Lytechinus pictus: one gene and its partner. The protein of the gene in region 2 binds, or shares a complex with, the protein of the main gene of each other region. Links are inferred from orthologs where the notes say so. Each region holds a gene or a part of one and is shown on either strand. Other genes may lie near its edges.

The links.
Region 1: the proteins of T-complex protein 1 subunit epsilon-like (region 2) and DDB1- and CUL4-associated factor 12-like are in contact, whole or in part, in a cryo-EM structure (PDB 8AJM), measured with the Homo sapiens proteins. The link is inferred for Lytechinus pictus from reciprocal best matches to the Homo sapiens genes CCT5 and DCAF12. Residues at the interface, in NP_036205.1 of Homo sapiens: Gly537, Glu538, Ser539, Glu540, Glu541; in NP_056212.1 of Homo sapiens: Lys91, Phe93, Lys108, His144, Trp186, Phe188, Arg203, Lys254, Arg256, Glu298, Val300, Arg344, Phe411, Tyr422, Leu440, Pro441, Ser442, Gly443.

What each region holds. Positions count from the first base shown.
Region 1 is NC_087249.1:18,253,976-18,265,358, reverse strand, and holds the start of DDB1- and CUL4-associated factor 12-like, read right to left. Parts: upstream 4,498-11,383; 5' UTR 4,351-4,497; coding exon 4,051-4,350; intron 2,734-4,050; coding exon 2,518-2,733; intron 941-2,517; coding exon 880-940; intron 1-879. UniProt on the Homo sapiens protein: Substrate-recognition component of a DCX (DDB1-CUL4-X-box) E3 ubiquitin-protein ligase complex of the DesCEND (destruction via C-end degrons) pathway, which recognizes a C-degron located at the extreme C terminus of target proteins, leading to their ubiquitination and degradation.
Region 2 is NC_087247.1:6,976,404-6,987,377, reverse strand, and holds the start of T-complex protein 1 subunit epsilon-like, read left to right. Parts: upstream 1-5,643; 5' UTR 5,644-5,973; coding exon 5,974-6,078; intron 6,079-8,014; coding exon 8,015-8,075; intron 8,076-9,610; coding exon 9,611-9,775; intron 9,776-10,974. Other genes in the region: sperm microtubule inner protein 11-like, read right to left, coding at 2,917-2,965, 3,566-3,704, 5,180-5,444. UniProt on the Homo sapiens protein: Component of the chaperonin-containing T-complex (TRiC), a molecular chaperone complex that assists the folding of actin, tubulin and other proteins upon ATP hydrolysis.

The DNA of each region.
Region 1 (11,383 bases), on a different chromosome or scaffold from region 2:
CTGGTTATCGACAATTCAAATTGATAGAAAAAAAACGTAATGACGACTGCACGATGTGACAATAGTATCAAAATATAATCAAAGCACCTACACAGAATGACTTGTTCTTTGCTGCAAGATCAGATTCTAAATCATTTTATTCATCAGTTGAAATCTGATCTAGATTACAATAATAGCATTTGAATGAAAGGTCTATCTAAAGGTAATTCACACCCACTACATTATAAAAAAAACAAAATAAATTTGGGGCATATAAAAAAGCACAAGAGCTGGGACCCATTTCATAAAACAGGTTATAATATCAACTTAGCAGTAACAATTTAAAGCTACTTATATCATTTAATTTCTTTGGCTGATAGGAAACCTGTTATAGATGCTGTGCATTTATTATTATAACAAGTCTTTATGAAAAAGGACCCAGATCTTCAGTCATTTGTAAAGTAGCGTATAGCTTAGAAACAGCTTTATGGAACACTCGGCAGTTTATATGTACTGTACATGTAAATACCTTTCATTCGCAATCAAACATACTCCATAATGATAATAAAAAAAAATTTACATTCGCATAAGACCATTCATCTGTATAAGACCTACGATACAGGGACAGCTATTTTCATATTACCTGTAAACCAAAACATAATTTTTTTTTGTTCTTTACTTTGCATGAGCAAATTTACTCAATTTACCTTTTCAAAACAGAATTTCTGTTTTTACGGTGCACATTTACAATACTATGTCAAAAAGGAAGTTTTATTTTAGATCAAGTTTGAAACAGAATTACAGCTTTCCAGGAACGGGAAAAGACACTTTTGTAATTGGAAAATCACTTTCTCTACAAATGCTTCAAAGAAGATTCACAAAGATGCCCCATGCACTTACCTGCAACTAAGTATTGGTCATCTAACCATACAACTGAGAACATCCAGTCCTTGTGGCAATTCTGAAGAAGAAAAAAAGGTAGAATAAATTACTACCAATTAACATTTGGGGTAGTAACAACATGCACACTTGCACAGGGAATAATGTCACTTCTCAAATTTGATTTAACATTTCTGATTGTTAGATACAAATTTGCAACTACAGGTATGCTCTGTACAATCCTATGTAAAAATTTAAAACTTTGTAGTGTTGCAGTAAAAAATAGAAATAAATAAATAAAATGGGGAGCCAATTGCGATGTGATAACAGGAAATTTATTCCTCGATGCAGATGTTTTGGTTGATATCTTGATATGGTTCAAAACTTCAAATCAGCCCGGACTCCCCCTGAGTTTGTTGAAAGAAAGGCTTATGAAGGCTGAACTTGCAACATCAATACCACTGCAAATGCACAATCTACATGAACAACAATTGCAGCATACTGTAGTCAATCTACATGTACATGTATGTATGGTCTCCACATCAAGATTATACAGAACTGACTTCTGAACGCCTGGTATCTCATTGACTTGGACAAAAAAATGATGCTGATTTTGTCGCAGCATATCTGAATGAACAGCTATTGAACAAAGGTGCACTGATGCGCCAAAAATATTTAAAACAAGTGGAATGCCTCTGGCCGTCTCACCTGCATCATGCGATTCAATATAGCAGCAGAGCTGACTTTGAAAACTACTATCAAATAATTATTCACAAAAAACACCATTCATATAATGAAACAATACTACGTTCATTGACATTTGACCTTGATCATGTGACCTAAAACTTGTCAGTGAAACTTGATTACCCCTATATCCACATTTTATTTGAAAGTAATGACAGCAATCTAATAATTACCTCTAAAATGGCCAAAGTTCAATGACCTTACATGACCTTTGACCTTGATCATGTGACACGAAACTTGCACAGGATGTTCAGTGATACTTGATTACTCTTATGTCCAAGTTTCATGAATCAGATCCATAACCTTTCAAAGTTATGATGGTAATTCAACAGATACCCCCATTATGGCCAAAGTTCATTGACCTTTGACCTTGGTCATGTGACCTGAAATGCGCACAGGATGTTCAATGATACTTGATTACTCTTATGTCTAAGTTTTATGAACTAGACCAATAAACTTTCAAAGTAATGATGGTAATTCAACAAATACCCCCAACTTGGCCAAAGTTCATTGACCTTAAATGACCTTTGACCTTAATCATGTGACCTGAAACTTGCACAGGATGTTCAGCGATACTTGATTACTCTTATGTTCAAGTTTCATGAATCAGATTCATAAACATTCAAAGTTATGATGGTAATTCAACAGATACCCCCAATTTGGCCAAAGTTCATTGACCCTAAATGACCTTTGACCTTGGTTATGTGACCTGAAACTCAGGCAGGATGTTCAGTAATACTTGATTAACCTTTTGGCCAAGTTTCATGAACTAGGTCCATATACTTTCTAAGTTATGCTGTCATTTCAAAAACTTAACCTTGGGTTAAGATTTGGTGTTGACGCCGCCTCCGCCGTCGGAAAAGCGTCTCACTCTGCTATGCAGGTGAGACAAAAACTGTAAAATTTGTGACTTACCTGCCCTACGCAGACGGGATCAAACGTGGGTAACTGGTATACACCAATGTTGTTTGGGTTGTCTGCCCCTGTCGCTAGGAGGGTACCGCTGGGGTTGATGGATATGCTGTGGATACCACTGTTGTTCATTGGTAATGTCTCTGGCTTTTTGCTTGGGAGACTACGGAGCATCGGGATGGATACTTGGTGGTTGAGGTTCAAGTCTAACGCCATCAACTAGCAAAGGAAAAAGTTTTTACAAGACGCATGTACATGTTGCACCCTTATTGTGACCTCATTCATTTGCATCACTAATTTGCATTAAATCCTGAGAGATTGATCGAGCAGTGTATAACCAGTGCATTTAAATCTGTTTCTCTTTCATAGTGAGTAAAACCTTGTAAAGAACTACTGATTAATTCTTATTCTTCTCTAGACTTGGGATAGATCACTCAGTTTAATATTTCTTTAGTTTTTCAATCATCACTCGCAGCCTGTCTCATCTTGCAATGTAAATGTGTTTTGGGGAAAAAGTGGTATACCTAAAAGCCTCTCATGATAATAGGAGTGGGCTATACGGGGTAATTTCAATATGACAACAGTTTTTTTTCATTCCTTGTAATGTATCTCAACATGAAATGACAATATTTTTTGTCTCGGGTCCGAGAAAAAGTGTGCCGGGCCAAAATCCAAAATGGCCGCCAAAACCCCCCAAAATCACAGTTTTGGCCACAACATTTTTATTTGGTGGTCAATTTCTCTGGTTTTGGTGTCTATTCATATGTTTTAGGGGGCAGGCAATTTGTTTTTCCTATAATTAGTACTTTTAAACCATTATTTGTAGAGTTAAAAGGTAATTATACCTAAATTTACCCATTTTTGTAGCCTTTTTTCAGCCAAAAAGTAGGTTTTATCATCCTGGGGTTCTGGGATATTAGATGGTACGAGGTCAACAATAGCAAGCAGCTTCATATAGCTACCAAAGTTTTGATAAATTGTAATGTTTTCTATTGTCTTAGGGCCACAAAATTTGCTTTGCAGGCTACCAAAAATATGAAATTGGTCGGGCCACCGAGAAAAAAAGTAAGTGTGGAGCCTTATTTTATTAAGGCAGATTTCTTTCATAAATTATGCTTAATTCCCCCCGTATAATAAACAATGTCCCATGCTGATGCACACTTTTGTCACTGTTTACTAAATTGATGCCTGTTCCAGTCACTGAGCATGATATTTTATTCATGAGTCTACTGTTTTGAAGAGTGGACTCATTAATTCAAAACAGTTGACTCATGAATGAAATAGCGTGGAAAACCAGGCAACAGGCATCAATTTGGCGCAATATGATAAGTGAGCATCGGCATTGGACATTCTTCAATATATGCAGAAAATTTATATTTGAGTTCTTAAGCTCCTGTGCTAGTGAATTCCACAGGGCTGGTCTGGCATGAGCAAAGGCTTGATAACCCCAGGATTTTTTAGATAGTGGAATATGTAAAAGACCTGATTGGGATGATCACATTGTGCGTACAGGGAATACAGAGGGATGTCACTCACTCTATTGCACTTGGTTCCAATGACTACTTGATGATCTGAAATCCATTCCGAAGCAAAGATCTTATTGATTTCGCCAACTGGAATCTCCCGCTCCGAGAGCACGTGGGGAAGTCTGCGGGTGGTCAGGTTACAGATAACCTTCCTCCGGTGCTTCGCATGTCCGATTGTTCTGCTTCGAATATGGTGGAAGACAGAGGCACTCTCAGGGTCGCCTGCGCCCATCCATTCTCCGCGGTGTCTTTCGGTCAGGGCTGCTGCGGCAGATTTCCTACTCGAGGCTGCATCCTCATTTGACTGCATTCTATAGAGTTCCTTTTTACTCTCTTGTCTCTTCCAATTAGTTCAAGCCTTCAATATCACTCTTACTGATCAGGATGACAAGGACCTTTATTCATGATTTTTCGTTGATCACAACTGCCTTATTATATCATCAAGTTTTGCAGTACCTACAAGTAGAAAGAAAAGACCAACAGGAAGTCAAAGGGAAGATCAAGCAAGCTTCCTTTTGGTGAATCTCAAATATGTGGAAACAACTAATATAATGTATTAATGTAAGCAGACTTAATTTTTGATAAAGGACTTTCCAAGTATCAATTGCCACTGCTACGAAGACAACACGCAATTGTATTTAATCCTTTTCTCCAAATGTGCCACAAAATGGTGCTCATAAGAAGAATAAGTGGCATAAATATGGATGCTCCAAAAATATTTAATGCTGAATGACAAGAAAACTGAATAATTGTTGGTCATTGGTATACCATGTCAGGTTTTGAAATTTGGGGGCCACAGTTCATTGTTGGTGACTCGGTCAGAACTCCATCCGATATTGCCAGAAAACTTGGTGCATTCTTCGAGTACTCAATTAAAAAAAGAATCAAGAATATTTAAAGATCTGCTTATTTCATGACCTATAATTTGAGACATTTGTATTTTGTTACCAGGACCAAGGCTCGACATTAGCAGTGGCCCAGGGCCACCAAAAATTTACCTCAGGCAACCATAATTGATAAATGCTAAGTTTTGGTGGCCCGAATCGGGCAACCAATAATCTTTAAAGTAGCGCAATTTTTCACGCATTTATCAACTTTCTACAGTTCAATTTGCAAGCCAGTTCGTCATGCGACTTTTTCTAAGATTTACACACAAATACACACACTTTGGGGGCATACTTTAGGTTTTGGAATTCAAAGAGGAAGAAAGGAACTGTTAATTTGTATCAAGTTACCATTATGAGTGTATGTCTAATTGTCTATACATGTATGTAGATCAAAGAAAAAAGTCCTCACAACCTGGGAATAATACAATTCATTTATTACCTTTAAATCATTTCATATTTACAATGAAAGAACTTTACCACAAATCAATTTGCAAAATATAATAACAGTAGCAAGGTTTAAAAACAAGATGTACAAAGTGAAAGTAACTTGGTGGTCGTGCTGGATGCAGAATTAATATTTTAGAAATGTCTTTTATTCATTTTTAATGTTTTTTTTTTTCGGGCCACCAAACTGTCATATCAGGCCACCAAAAAATATTATATGAAGGTTTTGGTGGCCCGAACGGGCCACCACCAAAAAAAGTTAATGTGGAGCCTTGCCAGGACAGCATGAAAAATATTGTTCATGCTTGTTTTTACCAATAAAATGGATTATCATACTGTAATAGCGTTCTTTACGGATTACCCGATTCTCAAATGTTTGTTTTCTTTTAATATATGTTCATAATTTAATGTTTCTATGGTGCACTCACTAAAGCTAAGCTTTCTCTTTTGTTTTCCGCCAAGATACAAGACGCAAATAATTGATATGCGTCTTGTAGCTTGGCGAAAACAAAAGAGAACAAGATGGTGACGTAAACATTGCGGCAATTTTTCCCCGTCTTTTCATATTTTTCTCATTTGTTTGGCATAATCCTGGTTTAAGTCACCAGTCCATTCACTGCCGTTTATTTCGTCAGCGCTGGTGACTTCTTTCAACTCCCATTGACTTTGTATGGTGGTGTGACCTTAATTCGCGCGTTACCTAAATTTGCACGGTCGAATATCTCAATATCAGCGAAAAAAATACACGGAGGGGGGGGGGGGGGGGGGGCGGGCGAATTCGCCCCGGAAATGCCTAAAGTCGCCCTCGAAATCACCCAAAATCATGCTTTCGGGGCCAAATAAAATCTTAATGTCACCCCGAAATTATTGCCGAGCGATAACAACTCAGCGGCCCACGAGCGCCATATGCTCGAGCTCCGCTTACCATTTAAAAATAATCAAAAAACCATACTCAAAATCATGAACAAGCCTTGAAAGTAACGAGGAGCACAGTTTCAAATTCCAAAGTTGCGTCTTTTTTTCTGTACCACGTTTTTCCATACACATGGTATGAAAAAAAAAATAAACGTAACGGTCGGGAAACGGTTGCATGTATAGGGGTCCATTATGACTGCCACCATGTGCAATTTCTAATGCACATTTTCCCCTACATATATCACAATTCTGTGATAAAATAATTCGAATTACACAGGAAATAAATCCCAGAGTCTACTAACCTCGCATTGACGAGTTGTCATTCGGCTTTGCTTTTCAAAACGGCCTATTAACATCCAAAATAACTTACCTTATTTGATTATTACTTAAAAATCATTTGTTTTATTTTTCTAGGGATGAGGTAAATATCAGACAATAAATCATCAAACAAAGCTCCATCTATTTTACAAGGCCGGCGGGAGGCTCATGCACGCCGGCATTGGCGCGTGTACTAGCTAGCCAGTCTGAGCTCTGTCTCTCTGCCTGAGCTCTGGGGGACAATTCGCTCAGTAAAGGCCTCAATGATGGTGAATCTCTGTTTCAGACAGAGTTTACATTTCGGGTATATTATTAAAAACTGCCAATAAAGTTTGATGATTTCGTCATTGTCATGTATATTTAAGTTATTAATGAGTTCATTCTCACCAAATTTAGACTCCCCCATAGAGAAATGCAATTTTCGTGGAGATCTGCGTTTTCAAAGAACTTCAGGAAAAGTTAGGGTATGTGGGACTTTATAACATGGCCAAGTACAGGTTATTGTACTGGAATAGATGGAGTAGAAATTAGATATTGAATTCATTTATATCCAAGTTCAACTCACAGTTGACTTAAAAAATCATACAATATTAAATAAGTAATAATTCATTAATAATAGGAGTGGGCTATAAATGGGTGATTTTTGGTTTTACTGTGGGAACAGTTTTTTTGTGTTCCTTTTACCTTATCTCAACATGAAATGACAATATTTTTTGTCTCGGGTCCGAGAAAAAAGTGTGCCGGGCCAAAATCCAAAATGGCCGCCAAAACCCCCCAAAATCACAGTTTTGGCCACAACTTTTTTATTTGGTGGTCAATTTCTCTGGTTTTGGTGTCTATTCATATGTTTTGGGGGCAGGCAATTTGTTTTTCCTATAATTAGTACTTTTAAACCATTATTTGTAGAGTTAAAAGGTAATTATACCTAAATTTTCCCATTTTTGTAGCCTTTTTTTCAGCCAAAAAGTAGGTTTTATCATCCTGGGGTTATGGTATATTAGATGGTACGAGGTCAACAATAGCAAGCAGCTTCATATAGCTATATATTGCTTTTATTCCTCCACTTTGGGTTTTACGGATATTTGTGAAATATATCTTATCAAATAAAAGAAAATGTCATTTATCCATAGGGGCTATACGGTGTACATGTACAATGCACTGTACATACTACACTGCATATATCCATGCATTGACCACCATGGCATATGTCAAGGCCTGTATATAAACTATAGTGTCATAGAAATGAGCTTCAAAGGTTTAGAATTAGATTGTGAATTTGATTCCTTGTCAGCTGATGTACATGGTGAAACCAGCAACGTAAATTACACTTACATGTAAATATCACATACATGTATATATATATACGTACATGTACATCACATTTTTAGCCATATCTTCTTCATTTGGAGGCTTTTTTTTAAACCTGGTTCTGGTGTCTAACTGGCCTATGTTTATGGGGTCAGGTAACTACTAGTATCATGGTAACGCTGATCAACAGCCAATCAGAATCAAGGATTGCATGCAAGTTACCATTAAGTTAAGTTAACATAATGGTAAATTTTTATGCAACGGGGCCCAGAATAGCAATGTTCAGTGTAAATTACCTCTCTCCGCCCCCGGCCCTGAATTAGCATATTTGACAAAACATGTCCTCAATTTCTGACACAAAACATATCTTCAATTTCTGAGGCATCTCATTCTAAACCTGAGAGCTCATTTCTATGACACTATAGTTTATACAAGCCTTGTTATCTGTCATGGTGGCCAATGCATTTATGCAGTGCAGTATGTATGTACAGTAGATTGTATACTGTACAGCCCCAATGGATAATTGACATTTTTTTATTTAATAAGATATATTTCACAAATATCCGTAAAACCCAAAGTGGAGGAATAAAAGCAATATAGCAATATGAAGCTGCTTGCTATTGTTGACCTCATACCATCTAATATCCCAGAACCCCAGGATGATAAAACCTACTTTTTGGCTGAAAAAAGGTTACAAAAATGGGAAAATTTAGGTAAAATTACCTTTTAACTCTACAAATAATGGTTTAAAAGTACTAATTCTAGGAAAAACAAATTGCCTGCCCCCAAAAACATATGAATAGACACCAAAACCAGAGAAATTGACCACCAAATAAAATAGTTGTGGCCAAAACTGTGATTTTGGGGGGTTTTGGCGGCCATTTTGGATTTTGGCCCGGCACACTTTTTTCTCGGACCCGAGACAAAAAATATTGTCATTTCATGTTGAGATACATTACAAGGAATAAAAAAAAACTGTTGTCATATTGAAATTACAAAAAAAGTATTTTTGACCCATGTATAGCCCACTCCTATTAATAAGTGAACAGGTATTCCTCAAAATACAAAAAAGTAGCATTTGAAAAGAGCGCCCGAAAGGTAGAAATGGAGCCCCCGAAATTTTACAAAAATTGAAAATGGAGCCCCCGAAAAAAAAACAATTATTTTTTCCTGCTCGATGCTCAATATATAATGAAAACCTTGAAAAACTGATATCACTAACAGAAAAAGCGACCAAAAATTACCTAGTATGAAGGTAGGTTCTCAGTTTGTGAAAATATTGGCAGAACATTGGCAAACTTTGTTACCTTTTACGTCTGCTCCGAGAAAATCCGAACTTCTCCATAAGCATCAAGAAATCGGCAGTTTGCAAGCAGAGGTCTCCAAAGAAGTAAGATGTGATACCAACCGAATTTATGGCATTTCAACTTCCATACAATTATCTTATGATGGTGGTCCCCAAGTCTGCGCACCTAACAATTTGAGTTAAGATTTAACATGAATTTCTTTTTATTTGTGTACCAAAGTGTACCAAATATCTCATACAAATTTGAAAGAAATATAGCATTTTCTTGGAAAAAACCTCGGGCACTCGTTTTCAGATTGAAAAAAAAAATGGTACCCCATGTCTGCGCACCCATTCACTTTGCACACGATTCGGGGATTTTGATTAAAAAAGGCTGCATTTTGAGGCCGTCACATGGAATGCCCCAAATTAATTATTTTCCACCATTTTGATTCGGATTTTTAAATGAATGTCTGTCTATGTATTGCATGTGTAAAGTTTGTGCTTGTTGCATATCTTCTTTTACTAGAATCACGCAGATACGCGTGTGCGCAGACAAGGGGGACTGCGCAGATTGGTGGGAACTTGCCATACCTTTTTCTGTTCGATTTCTTTTCTAAATCTTTGCAAAACCATCGTGCGCAAATTAAGGTTACACTTTTTCATATTTTTTCAGCCTAACGAGGAATAGTCGATTGTCATGGAATTTTGAGATTGCGATACCAGCGAAACCCTTGACCTACTTTGAAATTCCCTCAAGCGAATTTGACTTTGGGATCTTGCCTTCCATCTGGTATTTATGATTTTTTTGATTAATTTTGTGTGAACTGTGAGAATTTCTTGATTGAAAATCAACTTCATGATGATTTTTAAAATGTGCGCAAATTATGGTCACCCCAGCCCCAGGCATCAATCATACACGAGTGCACACACATATAGATTAGAGAGGTGACTTACAGTAGAGGCGCACGGCCAATATTGGAGACTGTCTCCAATGTGGGAGATTATCTCCAATATCAGAGACTTTTGTAAAGAATTTGGGTATCCAATTTCAGAGACAGTCTCCAGTTTTGGAGACCAATTTCCTTTGTTTACATTTGCTGCAAAAGGATTACCTTGGCGGCAAATAAAAATGTGATAAGCAGATTCCTCATGAAAAATTACCCCTTTTCACCATCTACTTTAAAAATTCACCGCCTACTTTTGTTTTGATAAGGATTTTTGTTGTCAATCACACACAAAACAAATGGGCTTCTGACCTGTGAGACAAAATTTTGGGTGGAAAAAATCATGCTTTTGTTGGTGTTGTTTCTTTTGTCCTTTTGCAAAGCAAGTCTTTAATGTGGGAGATTGTCTACCCTATTGGAGAGTCTCCCATATTGGCCGTGCGCCTCTACTGACTCACCCATGGGTTCATATCATCTCGCGTGCGAAGGAATATCAGTCATATGCACGCGACACACATGACAAGTCAAAAAGATAGTGAGCTTTTGCCCACATAAAATATCACCAATAATCTGGTATTTCACATTCTGCTATGACACTTACCGAATCATTTAGATCCTTCCGTGACTTCTCCTTGAAGTTTTTCTTAAAAATATGTATATTTTCTTGATCTTTAGTGAAGATTTCACGGAGATAAAATTTGGTCAGCGTAGATATCAATTTTCGTCTAAAGAGGGCGCGCGATTTATATTCATATCAAAGACACGACAAGGGAAAGATTAGGAACCTACACTATTTTACACGCAAATCGACGCAAGGCATTACGCGAAGTCCGTGAAGTGTCCAATCTTTTCATTGTATAGACTTTGGTATACCGTGACGTTTGTTAATACTGCTTGTACTGCTGGTTTTGTTCCAGGCATGTGTATTTAGAAAAAAAAAAAATTATATTAGTCATCGTTTTAAATTAATTGCAACAAAAGTGTTATCATCGCCAATAGTAATCCTGAATTATGTTTTTGAAGGTATTTTATTTATTGGTGCCCATAATTGGTAAATTAATCATAAGAATTGCGCATTCAAAGAATTTAGACACAGTTATAAAATTACCGAGGAGCTGAATCAAGGTTGTGAAATTTATTAGCGCCACCAACGGGCTTCCTTGTATTTCCGTAGAAGAGACAAACGAAGTCACTTGCTAGGCCGAGGTAAGCGAAATTTGCTCTTTTTAAATGAAATTA
Region 2 (10,974 bases):
GTCACACACGTACAACTCCCTCATTACTTTAGTACTTATTTCACTTATATTCTCACTTTTATAGAGTCTATCACAAGGTGAGGTGTTCTCTTTATATGAGAGGACAAGTACAGAGGTTTCACAACATTATATCATTGATGAATCGTTTGTCATATGATTAGAATGAGCAAAAAGAGATGTTTTGGGGTATATTTTCAGTGTCCAAAAGGGGAGAGTTGTTCATCTGTGACATCATAGATCTTGGTCGCATTGCCAATGGGAGGATCGCCATAGCATTAGTGATCTCGACATTCAAATGCTCATAACTCTTCTATTGCTAGTCCTATTTTACTCAAACTTTTGTTGATCTTATTCTTTGATTTTTCTGCTTTCACAAAAGCTAACTTGCTCCAAGAGTTTCATTCTCCTTTAAGTTTAAAAGCTTATCTCCGTGGTACGCCACCCTTTTCCTTACTATGTTCACACGTTTCCCTCATTATATTCGACCTACGTACTGGCAAGGAGCTTGCATGCTATACTGCATCATACCCCATTCATGCAGAATGTCCCACATTTATATTTGACTCGGCCATGCAGGGACAGAACCAACCTGCTCCTGGTCCCCCCCTGTTTTGAGGGGGGAGGGGCATGTATTATCTATGACGAACATTCCCAGCTTACTTAGTATTCTAATTTGAAGAGATGTACGACCACGACGGATGGACGGAAAATGAATAGTCCATCCCATTGGGGTATGATATGTCAGCTCCTTCACGAGATCGAGTCGCCCCCCCCCCCGGTCGTCCCCACGCACACCCAAACCCCCCCCCCACACACACACACACACACACAAACAGCTGATGAATAAGAGAATAATGGTCTACCAGGCCCCCTGACATCGAGCTTCTTTGTTCCAAGGAAAGTTTAAGAACACTTAGTCCACATAATGTATATTTCTCATTAGCGCACAAACCAATGATCCAAGAAATTTAAGGTGACGTGAGTGGTAAGAGTCCCCAGATAGCAAGCAAAAATGTCGACCTTTTCAAGATAATTTTTTTGCGATAGGTTCTGACATAATTATTAAAAAATCTTACCCCTTTTCCCCTTCTTTCTCTTTCTTTCATTCCCCCCAGCGGTACCCCAATGACACAAACACACACACCCTCACACGGGCGCCTCACATATACCCCACACGCACACAAACACCTCGCACATGATCGGTAAAACTGAAGTATTTTTATTTAACATTTTAATCTAAGATGATAGAATGACAAGTGGCACACGGAAGTTATTTTGGATCAATATCATTTATGTAAATAATTACAAAACACTACATACCTCGACAAACACATACTTGTACAACACTGTTTGATTGATTGAATTACATTTGGCTTTGCAAAAAAATATAAAATGAAGTCTTGCAGTTATAATTATTATCGTATCGAACATATAAATCAATGTGAGACATCCGACGTTACAAATAAGACGCGGCAAATGATGCCATTTCGGTCTCATAAGACAAAAAAAATAGTTTATCAACTATCAATTTTATGTAATAATATCTAATTTTGCAGGATGCTATGTACAGGTAAAAAAAACCCATTACAAATATTATAATAATGATTCGTTTAAAATACATACCGCTTTCAAAACGACAGAACAGATAACTTGAACGACAAAATTATGATATCCAAGTTATTGCTCATATCAGCTCTTACCGTGAGGCGCAAGAAGATACGAAATCCACTCAATGCATTTTTCGAACAGAGCCCTCTCGCGACAAAGGCATTATATTTACTTAAACAATTTTGTTGTGGCCATCGAATTTGGAATTCAAATTTTCGATGCGATTATTATACTGATCTGTAGATATCTTTCCGTACTGATCAGCATTTATAAACCATTTACAGGAAATTGTGAGAATCTTTCGTCATCAATTATAAAGTGCAAACCTATGCAAAATGATAGTTCCAATGACTAATTTTTGTTTGAACAAAGACAAAACAAGACTGACAAAACACAATTATCTTTGAAATACTTTTTTGGGGAATACAAAATGACAGGAAAACAACTTTGGTTCTATGTTCGTTGTATAGTTTGAAGATAATCAATACTTGGTGGATGGCACTAATGGTTATGATAATAATACTCCTCTAATTGTAACAAAGTAAACCATAATTATATAAGTGCTCAATTTATGCATTATACAGTACACGCTTGTGTCCAAACTGAAACACCAATGCAGGTATAAAATTAAATGGGCAAACATCTTTCAGCCAATTTTAATGTATAACATAAATCATATACTTGTTCTTCAAGGAGTGGGACAAATAACTGGAACTGCAGGGCTTCAAGGTCTTGAGGCCATTGCAGTGAAAGTGCATGATTTAAATCACAATAAAAACAATTTAAAACAATTTGGGAAAAATATATAAAACAAACCTGTATTCCCAAAGACTCGAACTCAATATAAAGGTTTAACTTTTTTTTTAATTGGACACTCTTTTCAAAGTGTAGAGTAAGCAGGTGCTCCATTTAAGGCAAGAATGTAATTCAATGACTTTAGAGAATCAGTATCTTATGGGAAAATAGATGAATGAATTAAAAAGAAAATAAGGAGAAATCAAGAGCATTATTTTTTTGTATCTTCAAATTTAAATGACTCATTTGTTCATGTTTATTTCTTAAAGGTTAGTGGCTTATTTCAATACAAAAAGTAACTGATTTGAATCCATCATGGAAATCCATTCATCATGAGATACAGACCTGTAATGACACAGGTCCATTAAACCATTAATGCACTTCAGTCGTCTTCACTCCAGTCTTGTTCAAAGGCTGTTGGTTTATTTATGCATACCAAGTATGTCAGAAACATTGTCCATAGTAAGGCTTTACTGAAAGTTTTTTTGAAGTTTGCTGGCTCCAATTTTGTGATTAGAAGAGTGAAAATTCCCTGTTGGTTTGACTCATCTCCTTAACAAACCTGCAAAAAACACCAGAAAAAAGTTGATGTAAATTATATTATTCATTAGTATTTTGGATTATCTGTTCTTGAAGAAATAACCCAATCTCTGGAAACATAGCCCAATCAGGGTAGCCGTGCTAAAGCCAAAGTAACAGTATGCAGCGCTTAGAAACATTTGTATTAAGTGCTATATAAGTGTTGCATATTATTATCATTATTATTAAAGCATTTATCCATATATGGTTTAGTGAATGAAGTTTGGACAATAACCATCTGTTTATCTTTTGTATATACTCTTGTATAAATTGTTGTAGAGTCTGCTAAATATGAAAATGAGCTATAATTTATCTTAAGTTATAATATTTGTTAACAAAAGCTTATCACTCTCCCCTGTAAGTATCACAAATTGTACTACAAAATAAACACAAATAGAACCAACCTTAATAACCAGACAATATACATGTATGCCTATTGTGGATTCACATTACAAATCAATCCAAAAGAGCAAAACTTTAAATTCATTTTTGTTTGCTTCATCATCAAACAACCCAAAAGGACAACAAAAGTTCTCTTTTATAATTTGATAAATGGCAAGAGTGGGAGCTGGGCAGTACATACTTTGTCATTTCGCTACTGACGCATACATGTCTGGGGACATACGTCCAGGATTCTCTCTGCTTCAGTGGGACCTCTTTCTGATACCAGGAACCGGGAAGTTGAGCTGTTGTCACAGGGTTGCGGTATATATCAATGGGACCTGTAGTAAAGAAAATTTAAGTAACTTAAAAATGATTTTGTAATTATTATGACAAATGCAGGCAGGTATCCAGCATCAAATCCTACAAAGCATTTCATGGGCCCAATTGTCTGGGGGCAATAGTGAATCTATTATGCTTGTGCAAAGTCGATGCTGGATACACTAGTGAAATGTTACATATTCATGATTTACTAATATTAATTGTGTAACCTTTGAATCAAATGTGAATAAATCCTCTAATAGAGAGAGAGAAAAAAAAACCCAAATCAATGGAACCTGTCAGGATATTTGAGAGTAAATTTAATTCTCTTAGCACAATTTTCCATATGCAAACATTGTAAGTTGACCTAGTTCCATAAGCTGAATAATCCCCCGAGTCAAAGCATTTTTCAGACTGGAATATGCAATCATAATTATGTTAATACATCAGGGGCAGCAGACAAGTTTTGAAAGTGGATTGGCCGTGGGGGAGGGGGGCTGAGCCGAAAGTGGGGAGCCTGACAATGCAAAAATAAAAACACAATAAGATGGTCATTTTTACGTTTATGTACATTTTTCTGATTTAAATTTTCTTCAGTCAAACAGATTTCTACGATCCCAAGAGATTCAATTTAGGTCGATTCATCTGTGTTATCAGTAGTGGATCAAGGATAACATAAAATAGAAGGCAAAGAAAGTGGACCCATTACTATCGAAGTTCCAGCTCCTTATAAAGATGCAATTTGTCTCAGAGAATTTCAAGCAGAAAAATGGTTCTCACAACTATTCACAATTTTGGGCAAGAGAATTGAAAATGAAACACTCCCTGCCCTGAGCCTCTTGATGTGAGCCTGTTATAATTCTAAAGGGGATGAATGATATTTCAGGCACCAACAATACATTATATTGCAAGAAAAAAATGATAAGAATCATAATACTATTACGCAAAGTAGTTTGGAATGAAGTTTAGAAGCTTGTTACGAACTTTGTTTTAAATCAAAGTTTGTAACAAGCTTACATGGAAAAGACAACAAAGTAATGCATTAAGATTTTAGATTATGATAATATTAAATATAAATGGTACATGTATGCCTGTGTATGAAAATAATGATCATACAAGGATGATAATGAAGTTAATAATAACAATGATGATTATGATAATAATAATGATATAATAATAATAATAAGAACAATAATAATGTCGATGATAACGGATAATGATTGTGATGATGATAACAAAAGTATATATTTATGATAGTCGAACTCTAAGAACTGCATATATAGTATAGACTATAGATCGCATTCTTTAAATTATTGATGAAGGAATATGCTATTCTGTTTACTTCTGAAGCGCCTTGGGCACTCTACCGAGTGGATTTGGAGCTTTATTACTATTAGGGTAATTGTCATTAAATACTGCAAAAAAAAATCTAAGCAGAAAAGGAGGAATAAAATTAAAGCTCCACTACAACAAGCTCCCAGCTGGAGTGTATTACCTTTTGCACATCGTGTATGTTTGTGCAATCTCTCGGTGTATTTGACATATGATCCATGATGTTCTGGATGATCTACAGGTTCAATAACTTTGTTGTATTTGGTCATACCAATTGGTGGAAGTTTTGCAGTTTCTGGTCTGAATGATACGTACGATCCCTCCGGTACAGAGTGGGCGAGATGGTAGGAATATACCGGGTTTGGCTCTTTCACCTGTGCGCGTATAGGATATTGGTATCCCAATTCGGTGAGATTAAAGAATGACATTATTTCTGCTAGTTCAACACCGACGGTATATCCTGAAGATCACGTGAAGAACAAAAAATATTCCTGAAGAGGAAGTCTTGAAAAGCAACCTCTAAAACGCGAAAACTTTTAATTAGAGACGGGTTTCATCGAGGAAACGTTGATTTTGCATCAATAAGCGAACAGGTGCATTGCGTCTATTTCCGGGATATCCTTGGTTACGTGCATTGTTGTTATCGTCCCCTGATGGACGAGGCTGGCAAATAAGAAAATATACTTTCATATTTTCAACATTTTTGTTATAGTAATAAAATAATTTTTATTACAAAATCTGTTTAAAATTTTTAAATTTTGTTGAAGTCAGATTCTATCATGTATAGGAGTTACATTTTGATAATTTTTGGGGGGTAAGACTTTAGTGAACGAGGTTAATCATTGATTTGCTCATGGAGTCTTCTAGAATCTGCACATGAATTGGGCGTAAGACGAGTGAGAGAAATCCATTTTCATCTAGTAATCCACAAGCGAAACTTCCGTTTTTCACATAAAAATGTCTTCTCTAGGATCTCTCGCATTCGATGAATATGGTCGGCCTTTCATCATCATCAGAGATCAAGATTCAAAGTCGAGGTTAACTGGGATCGAAGCACAGAAGGTTGGTCTAATACTCGGTCCCACTCACTGACATCCGTGTCTATTTTATTTGATGAATTAAACTTTAGGAAAGGATACTTATGATTTGTTTTTAATACTTGAGGCTTTATAAATTATGCCCAGAGCAATAATAGCTTAATTTCTGCCAAATTTTATAAAATTTAACGCCACGGCACTGGCCACGGCAGTCGGTCATGTCACTCACGACTCATCATGTCGCATGAAAATTTGAAATTAAATTGATTAATATTAAATAATAACGAGTTGGACAATTCAGTGGATCCACAATACACTATACAGACAGTACAGTGCTGATCTCCAAACAGTGGAGGAACTGAAATGATAGAGAGAGATTGCGCCACTTATAGTTAGGGGCAGTGCTACAAAATTTATGGTAAAAAAGTACAAACTTGGAGTTGGAAGTTGGACGCTTACTAATATGAATATAGTTCAAGTGATTTTAATACTAATACTAATTTCAGAACAAAGTCGCGGGCAGCTGAGCGAAGATGTCCGATGTTTAAAGGAAACCAAAACCCAAGAAGAGAAGCAATCTTAGTGCGAAGAGTACTAAAATGAGAGGAACAATTTAAACAAAGTTTCATCAAAATCGGCCAATATGGGAGACTGTCTCCCATGAGATTGAGAGATTATCTCCAATAAAATATCACTATCAGAGACTTTTGTAAAGAATTTGGGTATCCAATTTCAAAGACAGTCTCCAGTTTGGGAGACCAATTTCCTTTACATTTGCTGCAAAAGGAATAAGCAGATTCCTCATGAAAAATTACCCCTGGCTTTGGCTTTTCACCGTCTACTTTAAAAATTCACCGTCTACTTTTGTTTTGATAAGGATTTTTACTGTCATCCACACACAAAAGTAACAAATGGGCTTCTGACCTGAGTGAGACAGAATTTTGGGTGGAAAAAATATGTTTTTGTTGATGCTTTTGTTGGAGTTTCTTTTGTCCTTTTGCAAAGCAAATTGAAGTCTCCAATAGGCAATATGGGAGATTGTCTCCCATATTGGAGAGTCTCCCATATTGGCCGTGCGCATCTACTGATGAAATAAGCAAGTGATGGACGTTAAAAAAAATTGTACTTTCTATGGGGATCCTCAAATTGGCAAAAGTGCTTCAAAATGGCTGATTTTGTGGACAACTCTCCATTTGTTTTTTACACAAATTTTCAGATTTTCCCTCATCTTTTCAATTGCATCTTGCCTCCTGAGCACAACATATGTCATGGGAAAATATAATTCACATCACATGTATGTCAAGGTCAGGAGGAGATAATGTGAAATTTGTAAAATAAAGGGGGAATCTGAAAATTACTCAAATGAGGAAAAAAGAGAAAAAAATCCAGGGAATTTTGATTTTTGATCTGCCAGTGGGAAGTGGTTTTCTGAGACCTTGTATACTTGCATTTTTTTCCTTACTTTGTGCATTTGATACTAAGTAAAAAGTGCCAAATACTTAAAGAGTAAGTAACCTTGCATTAAACCTTGCATTAGCAAACAATAACTAGTTACTCTCCAAAGCTTTTTGCACTTACAGGTCTATCAATCGCTCCGAGCACTCAGCAATGACTGACTTCACAAGAAAAGAAGAGCTGGAAAACCATTTTCCACTAGCAGATGGTTACTGGATTTTCTTTGCAAAGTGCTAAACCAAAAGTAAAAACGTAAGAAAAAGATGCTCCATGTTAACGCCCCATCTTGGCCTTTGTCATGGAAAGCAGATGCGTAATCATGTACTGTTCACTAAAAACAAGTCACACATGTTATTTTTAAAAAAGGAGTGTTCTCTGGGAATTATAATATGCAGCAAGGCATTTTTTTTAGCTGTAAATTTCTGGTATTTATCATTGAAAGGCTGATATTTTTTAAGGTTTTGACATGGAGATCAACATGTTTTTTTTTTCTCTTCTTTCAACAGTCTCATATTCTTGCTGCAAAGACAGTTGCAAACACATTACGAACTTCATTAGGCCCAAATGGTAAGTCTTTGTATGTATGAATTTGTTAGTGTTCTTGCCAGCAATAAAAATGTGATTACTTCAGTAACAACATCTTACATCTATAAAGTAAAAAAAACAAACTAACTTTTAGGAAAAAAAATCACTTTCACTGAGACACTTCTAAAATCCACCCTCAAGTGAAGTATTTACAGCAGCCATTCTCAATTACTTTTTTTGAAGCGCCACATTTCTTGTTAAGAATCTGTAATGCTCCACTTAGTCCACTATCCCCCGCACTATCCATTACGCAAACCAGCAATGTATCAGCGGAGGGGGTCCAGAGGCCCCTGGTGGGGGTCGAGGGGGCAGAGCCCCCAGAAGTTTTTGAATATGAGGCCTTTTAAATTGCCAACAAATGCCAACAAACTACACAATATGAATATTAAAAGAAAAATTACCAGTGACTTTTTCACAACATACCAATGATACCACTAGTTCAAACTGTTTTGCACCAGACCTATTGGCTGAAGAAAGTGGCGTAATGAGTAAAAAAAAAATGAGGGGGCAAGATATGGCAGCTGAAGCAAAAATATTGAACTTTTCAATACAAAAATCTATATTTTGACATAATATTAAGAAAATAATACAATGTTCCACTCTTTCCCTTTCCTTTTCTTTCCTATTTTCCTTTTTTTTCTTGGCCGTGAAACACTTGGGGGGCCCCCAATCCCCACCCCCATCTGTACGCCAGTGGCTGAAGTTACGTTCCCCGATTTTGCAAGGGCTGAAAATTAGGCGTTGCTCTGCACTAACGCCCCAAACTGCCCCTCTCGATAGATCTCTCTCTCTACAACTCGTGTTAAGCAAGAGTGCATGCAGGCAATCACAGCAGGCAGTACATCTGACCATACATGTATTTCACTTTTACAACTTCGGATTTTAATCGGCTCCGGAAATAAAGTTTCTGCTTGTTATGTCCCAAATTCATAATCTTTTATGATCCAGATGTACTTTGAATATCATATTATTTGATGTTTAACTCTTAACCAAAACGAATACTCTGGAAATGGAAAATTTCTCGCCGTTGAAAGAGAAATCCTACAAACAGGGTTTTCAAATCACTTGTGTGGAACATTAACTTTGTACAGCATAGAATAAATAAAAAGGAGAACATGCACCATCGACCCTCCATAATAGGGGTTATCGAGTGCTAAATTGGACAAAATTTGAGGAAATCAATTAGCAATTAAGTGTCAAGTAAAGAGTTTTTGTTTTCTCTTTGTATTAAAATGATCACCAAATCCTTATTTCCAGGTTACTGGGAGATACATTTTTTCTCACAAATTTTTCCTTATTTTTACGTTCTTTTTTTTTTATACCTGCTCCCAAGCGCCACTCCGCAAGGCTCTGATTTACAGCCAAGGTGAAAAATACATGAAGAAAGCTCACTTGTGCTGGATATGTTCCAATGTACCTTTTCTCAATCGATCAAACAGATGTCAAATGATGAAATAATCTGTCAGACTCGTGTTAAACATGTTGACAAGCTTTCTTTTTTGTCTACTTGCACGCAGGCTTGGATAAAATGCTTGTCAGCCCCGATGGTGACGTAACAGTTACTAATGATGGTGCCACCATTTTGGACAAGATGGATGTAGACCATCAAATAGCCAAGCTCATGGTTCAACTCGCAAAGTCACAAGATGATGAGATTGGTGACGGTACCACAGGTGTCGTCGGTAAGTACCGTCATTCAGTATATTTTTATGAAGCTCAAGGTGGTTAGTTTTGCAGACTGTGCAAAACCAAGGGTTGTTGAAACACTCTTTAGTGAGCTAAATTTCCTGACCACTATAGCTGAAAAAGAATTATGTGGTCAAGCTTCTTCGATATTTGTGGATTATCTCATGTAGATTCAACTTGTGATAAATTCGTCTCAAGGACACCTGGTTGAAAAAAGGTCAATCCACACAAGAAAAATGTTGATTTGAATATCAGAGAAAAATTAAACAAGCATGTTGAACTCTAAAAATTTCATCGAAATCGAATGTAATACAAGGAAGTTAGATTTTTTTTTCACTTAATTTTTGCAAAATGGTTATATGCACAAGTCCGTGATATTTAAATGAGAGAGTCACTTATGTCCCTCACTATTTATTTTGTTTTTCTTCATATGAATCTTACAATAGTTAGAATTTTTTCAGAGTTACAAAAAGGACCAACTTGATTGGACCACAAAATTTGAAAATGATGGTAATTCCACATGTTCGGGGAGGAATAATTTTTTTCATAAATGACAATGAGGAGAAAATGAATTTATTGCATATAGTGAGTGGGTGATGTCATCATTCCGTTCATTTGCATACCGACCAGCATGTGATCATATATAAGTTTTGTCAAATTAAGCGAACTTTGAAATGTCATATCTTTCTAATTTTACATCCAATCTTGATGAAATTTTAAGTGTTTTTGTTGGATATTTTTTTTAAAGAAAATAAACACTTTTGTTGGGGTGGACTTGTCATTTAAAGTGCCACTTAGGGCAAACTACAAAGAATTTGATGTTTTGAAAGTAGTTGCATGTTCTCAGGTGGATCAGTTTACATGTGAATATTTTTACCTGTAGTTAGTAGTTGTTTACGGGCAAGTATGATGACTAGCACTGGGCTATGATCAGCCTCTGATTCCAAAACGTGCTTTGTGGGTTCTGACAAAACTCACTTTCCTGACTTGCCTTCGAAGTTCAATGTTAATGAAATTTGCAAGTGATTTGTGTACACACTACTTACCGGGTAATTGTTGTGTAGCATTATCACATTTTAATCTGAACAAAGAGCTTTAAAAGATTGGTAGCTTAGATTGATCCCCACGGCAATATGCACACTTGCACAGAGTGCATATCACTAGATAATCAAAAGTACTCCTTCACCTCGGTATA